Linked DNA regions of Caenorhabditis elegans. The protein of the gene in region 1 interacts with the protein of each later gene in a pairwise test. Each region holds a gene or a part of one and is shown on either strand. Other genes may lie near its edges.

What was found. Proteins that work in one complex are often made in the same cells at the same time.
Region 2: the proteins of pax-1 (region 1) and azin-1 interact in a two-hybrid assay, tested with the Caenorhabditis elegans proteins (one large-scale study listed by BioGRID).

The regions. Positions count from the first base shown.
Region 1 is NC_003283.11:8,222,848-8,226,604, forward strand, and holds pax-1 (Paired box protein 1 homolog), read left to right. Parts: upstream 1-2,086; 5' UTR 2,087-2,117; coding exon 2,118-2,277; intron 2,278-2,524; coding exon 2,525-2,781; intron 2,782-2,833; coding exon 2,834-3,190; 3' UTR 3,191-3,269; downstream 3,270-3,757. Other genes in the region: air-1 (Aurora kinase), read left to right, coding at 191-391; K07C11.10 (BBSome-interacting protein 1), read right to left, coding at 3,304-3,402, 3,577-3,705.
Region 2 is NC_003279.8:3,828,472-3,832,228, forward strand, and holds the start of azin-1 (Antizyme inhibitor 1), read left to right. Parts: upstream 1-2,090; 5' UTR 2,091-2,713; coding exon of another isoform or gene 2,714-2,836; intron 2,837-2,890; coding exon of another isoform or gene 2,891-2,999; intron 3,000-3,363; coding exon of another isoform or gene 3,364-3,406; 5' UTR 3,407-3,547; coding exon of another isoform or gene 3,548-3,664; 5' UTR 3,665-3,710; intron 3,711-3,757. Other genes in the region: F53F10.8 (Transmembrane protein 234 homolog), read left to right, coding at 20-211.

The DNA.
Region 1 (3,757 bases):
TATATCTCCTGCCTCTCACGGTTTCATCTGTGAGAAGCTTCAAAGAACTGCAATAGAAGTCTAGCTCGAGATGCGTGTGCCGGTTTGCTTTTAATGCAATATGGTTCCTTTTCTCCTCGGGACAGTTCTCAAACATTCATTTCCATTTTGTTTCCCAAGTAGTTTCATCTAAATTGCTTCTTTTTTGCAGATTCCAAGTGTTGTGACTGACGGAGCTGCCAGTTTGATAAATGCAATAATCAAAAAGGAACCCCAAGAACGTCTCCCACTTGTTGACATCATGGCTCATCCGTGGATTAAGGAAATGAAGCAACGCGAAGACATTGAAGTTCCACTCTTCATTTCGACGCTCACGAAATCCAGTCGCAATAATTCTACAGCCAATCAATAAAAGCTCTGTCTATTGTCCATTAAAGTCTCAACCTTTTCTACTTGTCTTTCCAAACAATTATCATCTGCACTTTCCCTTCTTTAGAACCGTATATCATACGGCTACTAACTTCTTATTTTCGCTAATCCATTTAAGCAATTTATCCGTTTTCATCCTTTTGTTTCTTCTCACACTGACAACGAGAAGGATTTAAATTTATCTAAATCAATTATTCTTTATTTGTGTGTGTGTAAAATCATTAGATTCCCGTGAAAGTACTGTATCGTGTGTTCCCGTCTGCCCCATTAATTTTTTCCCAAATTTCGCATCCAAGTGTCTCGATTATCACATAAACGATGGTGCACCTCTTTGTTCATTGGTTCTCAGAAGAAATACAATGCTTTCTGCTAAAAGCCAAAACTCAAACAGTGGTGGCGGTAAGTAGAAGGCTGCCGCCTTTTTTGGCACTGTTTTGTTCCGCCAAAAAAGTAGCATGGTATGCAAACATTATAACGAGTTAACACTACATTGGTAGGAGTGGGAACGTTTTTTGGAACAGCTAAAGTTTGAAACATAAAGCGGAGGTTTAACAACGTTAAGTGGTATCTGGCAGAGAGCCTTAAATATCGTACATTCGCAAAAACTTTATCCTAGCTAGGTGCTATGTGCTACATGAAAAATTCTAGTTTTTTCTGTACATTTCAGAATTTCAAAATTCGTATAGTACATTTTCCATATCAAATGAAAAAATCTGTAAATTTTGGAACCTCACTATGACTGAGTTCGTGCCGAGACCCACTCAGGAAAACATCGTGTGCCTTTTAACTGATATCTCAGCATTTCGTGAAAATACAATATAAACATTTCTTTCTAATGTTTAATAATAACTGTAATCCTTGAAATGAACTGATCAATTAGATACTAGAATAATGCACAAAAATGTTTAATATTTGCGCGAATAACTGGTCGTTACCATCTGGTTGTTACATATCCGGTGATTACTAACCATTTATTTGATGGAGATTTGGATATATGTAGTCAATTTAGGTGAGTACAAACAAGATGACCCGTAGATATGCACTAGAGGTGTTTGTCAAGTGGTTGATTGGATATGACGATATTACGTTGCTCAATTTTTTGAATTTTTATATTTATCTGTTTTCATAAACAATTTAGCAGCTAGAAAAAAACAGTGACATTTCTCAGGTGTCCGTGTGTTCCATGCCTTCGAAATCGAAGAAAATCACGCAGTCGTTGGTGGAAAAGCAATGCCGTCACATGTGGACTGAGATGTACTAAAAAACCTAAGAATAAATACCGTATCAACACCTGGATTTGACAAGTTTATGTCAAAACAGTTTATTCTTCAGAAATTAACACCACAGGAGTCTATAGGCTTCGAAAAGATTTGTGACGTCAGATATTTAAACCACGAGCTTCCACGACTTCAGATGTTAAAACACACCCGTGTAACTTCATCCTTAAATGGAATCATGGGTAAAACATTGTCAAGTTCAACTGCCTACAGTAACCAACAATCATATTCCCACCGGCTGGTTCCTATTTGGCAAAGTCCCATCGTTTCCCCCTAATAATCTCAACAAATACCTATGCAGCTACTGTTTGCCCCCCCCCCCTTGCCTTATAATAGGCGGAGCCTTGAGAGCTTTGAGATTAAAGAAGCTCTGCACGGACCAGTTACTTTACGGACCACGTACCGCATTGGTACAGTCACACTCGCTCGAGCATGAACTGCGACACCGCTCAACCGTGGATGATGTCTTCTTATCATCCATCAACAACATCTGATGTCTTCTGGACAACAACACCATCGTCTACTTCAACGACTCCAAGCTCTGATAATGGAATTCAACAATATTCGTCGATATCTACGTCATCGGGTTACGGTAAGTACAATTGTCTGTAATTCGGCTTTTCATTTAAGAATTACATGGGTTTTACATGGATTTTTTTAGTAACTTATTCCACTGGCAGTGAAAACCTTTATAGATTCTTAATAATTAGTTACTATATCTTTAAAGAAATTGTCTGAAATCCTTACAGTATGAGATGAAAGTTAAGACAATTCTTTCTAGCAATGAAATCAAGCTAATAGAAACTATCAGTATTATTTTTAACGCAACTTTTTATCAGCCCCTGCCAACTCTCCTGCCAAAACTGCCGAAGTTAATCAACTTGGTGGAGTTTTCGTAAATGGAAGACCACTTCCATTTGAGATGCGTTGTAAAATAGTTGAGCTCTCGAGACAAGGAACACGACCGTGTGACATCTCTCGTCAACTAAAAATCAGTCATGGATGCGTTTCGAAAATATTGACTCGGTTCTCAGAAAATGGAACAATAATGCCTGGAACAATTGGAGGATCTAGACCGAGAGTTACTACGCCTAAAGTGAGTTTGAATCCGGCGTAGATTTTTCCAAAATTTTTTTTATTTTTTTCAGGTTGTTGAATATATTCGAAGTTTGAAGCGCTCTGATCCAGGAATTTTTGCATGGGAGATTCGAGATCGACTTATTTCTGCCGACATTTGCGATAGAGCTAACCTTCCATCAGTCAGTAGTATAAGCAGAATTCTTAGGAATAAAAACGGAGGAAATAGTTCAAGCTCATCAAGCTCTCAACTTCGATACATCAGAGATCAGCTCGCCGAGCAGCAGCAGCAACAACATCTACAACAACATCAGTATATGGAATATAACAATAATGAATTAAATCAAATTTCTGGAAATCTTGATTATCAAGTTTCATCTTCAAATACACCGCCATCTTATGATTCATATCACTTTATTGCAAATTGAATTGATAATTGCGGAAATATTTTTTTTGGCAATCGTATGATTATGTAAAGTTGTACAAAATAAATTAATTGATTGATTATTCATTAATGAGCGAATGTTCATGTAACATTTCGTCAATCATCAGCAGTCCAGACATCAGCTTCCTTTGGCTCAGAAGTTGATGGCCCTTCATTGCTCTTTGGCGACTCGGCCTCAGCAGACTCCGGAGTTCTCTGGAAATATATTTAAAAATTTCAATCGCTCATTTACAACACTGAAGTGTTAAAATTTTAATTAAAAACGTACCAGAATAGTACAATGTAATACCCTATCTGACTCCACTAATTACAAAACATGGTTTTTGGAAAATTTCTAAAGTTTCCAACAAAAAAAACCAAAATTCTCACCGCCTTCTGTCCTTCTGGGACCTGAAGTCTCTCCATCTGCTCACGCTGCATTTTCTCGAGCTTCTGAGTAGTGATGGTCTTCAATGGGATAAGCTTTGGCTTACAGAAGATCGGAGTCAACGTTTCGTCCTAAAATTCATAAGTACCAACAGCAATTAAAATATATCAAAACAATAATTTT
Region 2 (3,757 bases), on another chromosome or scaffold:
GAATAACAATGTATTTTAGGTAATGTTCAACGCTCTTGTTGTAAACTTTCCTGTTACTGTTGTTGTTCCGTGTGTGAATGCGATTCAGTTCATCGCAACAATTACAGTCGGGTGGTTGATGGGAGAGAAAATGCAGGTGTCCACAAGGAAGCAGAAAATTGGAATGACCATTTCATCGTTGGCAATTATTGGAATGCTGATTATCGATTAAATTAAATGTGAAAAAAAACGTTATTTTCATGTAAAACGCACTTTTTAGACGGAAAAAGTCAAATTTTCAGCCAAAATTTTGCTGAAATTTCAAAGAACCATATAAATCCGATTTTTTGTATTTGGTGAGGCTCACACTACCAACTACAATCAATTTTAGTCTCTAAATACCATTGCTCTGGTTGCGTGTCTGGAAAATCTCAAAGTTTTCATTTTCAGGATCGAGGAGACGCCGGAGTTCCACCAAAACGAGCACGCCACGGAAATTGATGCACAGAATCTCAATTTGTTCCCTTTATTCACCTAATTTATAGATTTTTTTTCTTAAAATTACAATTTTTATCGCTTTTTCTGAATTTTAACCCCCCAAAACATCAAAAACTCGTCGATCTCTGTAATGTCCTTCCCGATTCCCATGATATTTAAATGTTTCCTCCTTTTTTGATGTTTCTTCCCCGATTTTTCCCGAAAAAAATACAATTGTAACTTGTCGACAAATACGTGTGTTATCGATTAAAGTTTTATTTATCGATTAAATTCTCTCTGTGAAATTCGTTTGAATAATAATTTATTTGCCTTTCTTTCTTGAGCAGTTTTTGCTTTTCGGGTTTCCTTTTTTCAGAAAATAAAAATATTTTTTATAATATTTTGAATTGAATCAACATTAGCTATAGCTATAGCTTCATCGATTTGTTGTCCAAGAATCAGAAAATATTTATTTACAAAATGCATTAATGATATCATCTGACGAGAGACTGTGCGAAAGTGAGAGGTTCAAGACACTTTCGCAATAAAGCGTGTTTGCATTGCCGCGTTTTTCTTGAATTTTTTTTATTTCGGTCGAAATATTCCTTAGTTTTTCTCCTTTTAAACGAATTTCAGTTCATTTTTCACACGAAATTTGCTCCGCGTTGTTCTCTTACAATTTTCTACGATTTTTGTGTAATCGATTGAAAAGTGTAACTCGATAATTAGCGCGTTTTATCAGATCCCCAATATCTCAAGCTCTATTCCCAGAAAGTTTAATGATTACGAAGCGAAGAACATTAAAAAAACTCGTTTGCTGACCACCACGGTGTCATGTGACCACTTTTCTTCCGCGACAGCCTTCGAAAACACGCCAAAATAGAAGAGCGCGGAATTGTGATGCATGCTCTCGGAGCCCCCGCTTCTCTGCTCTCTGGCCCCAAGTCTGCGTCTCGATTCTCTTGGAAAAATTTCTTTTTTTCTCTTTTCTATCACAAGCCGCCCGCACAATTTTTTCCTCTCGGCTTCATTTTCCAATCAGTCACCAGATTTTTTCTTAATTGTCTTCTGCCCTTGTCTGCTGTTCAGGATGAACTTTGTTCGGGAGCTTCTGCGGAAATTCATAATTTTCAAAGACTTCCAGCTTTGAAAGTTATCTTTTAAGTAAAAAATCAAAAAAAAATCTAAAATTTCGCAACTTCTCTCAACTCACACTCACGTGCCAAGGTCATTCACACTTTCTCTCGCCAGTAAAATCAAATTGTGATAAAAATAACTTGATAAATTAAATATTCAATTATTTAATATTATTTTTAAATTTAAAAAACTATCAAATTTCTTCGTAATTGAAAACGGCTGACGGTATACCGATCTTATATCGCGACCTCCCTCCTTATCAAACGCCAAGTTTCACAAGCAACTTGCCATTTGTCTTTTAAAAATCACTTTGCCTTCTTTCTTATCTTTTCCATAGAAATTTTTTTTGCGGAGCAGATTATTCTAAAAATCAATCAATTTCTAGCATTTCGCTCCTATTCATTTTTCTTGTGACCGGAAGTTAATTCAATTTCTATTTAGAATCAATCAAAAACCTTGTGTTTGTTACGCAATGCTCTTTTCTGAATTTCGTTGTTTGTTCCCCATAAAAATAAAAGTTCTAAACACCATCAAAACACCGGTGTTCGTGTTTTTCGGTCGCTTTTTTTCGATTTTTGAACTGTGTCTGTTGCCGCCTCCTTCTAGGGACGAACGGAAAACAACTGACTCTCTGACATCATCACAGGATATCTTTAAGAAGCTGCTTCCCTCTTTTTCTTTTTCTTGTGTGTGCGTTATTCTAGAAAATTCAAAAAGTTTGTGTGACGTCGTTCCTCGTGACACTCTTCTTATCATTTAGAACTGCTTGCTCTATACAGTTTTCTGATTACAAGTCATCTCTTTCTTTGTCTACTTTCCTAATTCTGACAGGCATTATTAGCATTTTCTATAGAAAGAACATCACATAACGATGGTTACGTGGAAGTTTAAAGGTATTTCAACAGAAAATCGATAAATGTTGAATTTTTCCACGCATCAAAATCAATAAAATAAAATTATATTGTGTCGGTTATCTTACGTTTCGTATTCTCTTCCTCCTAATTTCTCCATTAACACCATCAATCAATCCAATCAATAATTTTTCCAAATAGAATCCGTGCCCCGTCGTGCTCGGATTTGAACTCGATACCTTGCGTGTGAACTACTAACACAAATCGTCTTGTTCCGTGCACTCCAAGGGAGAGAGTGTGCATGGAAGCTTGCCCGAACTGTCCCCAATTCGTCCAAGATTCCCTCCGCCGAGGAATCTAACGAGTCTTCCATACCGCCCTTAAGTGGCGCTGTGAGTTTTTTTTTGTAATATTTGAATTCTCAGAAAATAGTTGTTTTATTACAGGTAGTCGATCAGATCTCTAAGATCTACGCGGAGCCTCAACTTCGCGCCAGTCAAATCCAACTCGACAAGAACGCCGAGCCACCTTGGGATCCAGATCCGAAAGCCTGAGGTTAATACAGTGAATTTTCTTATGTGCTTCTACGAGTTTACATAAGTGCAAAACGGTGTTGTCACGCTCGTCGAATTAATTTAAAATATTTGGTGTGCGCGCCTTTAAGATTAATGTACAGATTTTTCTTTCAAATCTCAGCCGATTTTTCTAGTGTATTTTATAGTTTTTGTGTTATTTATTTATTTAACTGAAATAGATAGTTATTTGCACACAAAATCTTAACAGTAATCTTAAAGGCGCATACATCAAATATTCTAGATTTCGCGCACGTGCCGAGACCATGTTGCTATCGTGTACCTTAAACTCGTAGAAGTAGACATTTGACCAAAAATGTTTCTAAAAATGATTTAACAAATTTCAGACGTCAACTCTGTTCTTCAATCGCTTCCCGTTCTGCCGACTGACCGACTCTCTCTCTTCACATCTATAACCTTTTCTTCATTTTCTATTCAATCGCCCAGTAGCGTGCGTACGAGCCGGTAATCAATAGACCGCCTCGTTTCGCCCGTTTTCCTGGTCTTCCGTCAATTATCAAAATTTCGACGGTGACCTCATCTCATTCCTCGTCTCCAGCCCGTCTCTGTCCTCCGGACGACGTCTCGTGGATCTCGCGTGAAGAGCTCGCATCGCGTGTTTCCAACAACCGTCACATCCCGCCATAACTTGGCACATTCAATTTCCCCATTAAACAACAAATCGATATAAAATGTGAGTTTAATTAATTATTTTTTTCAAGAATATAGCTGTTAATATAA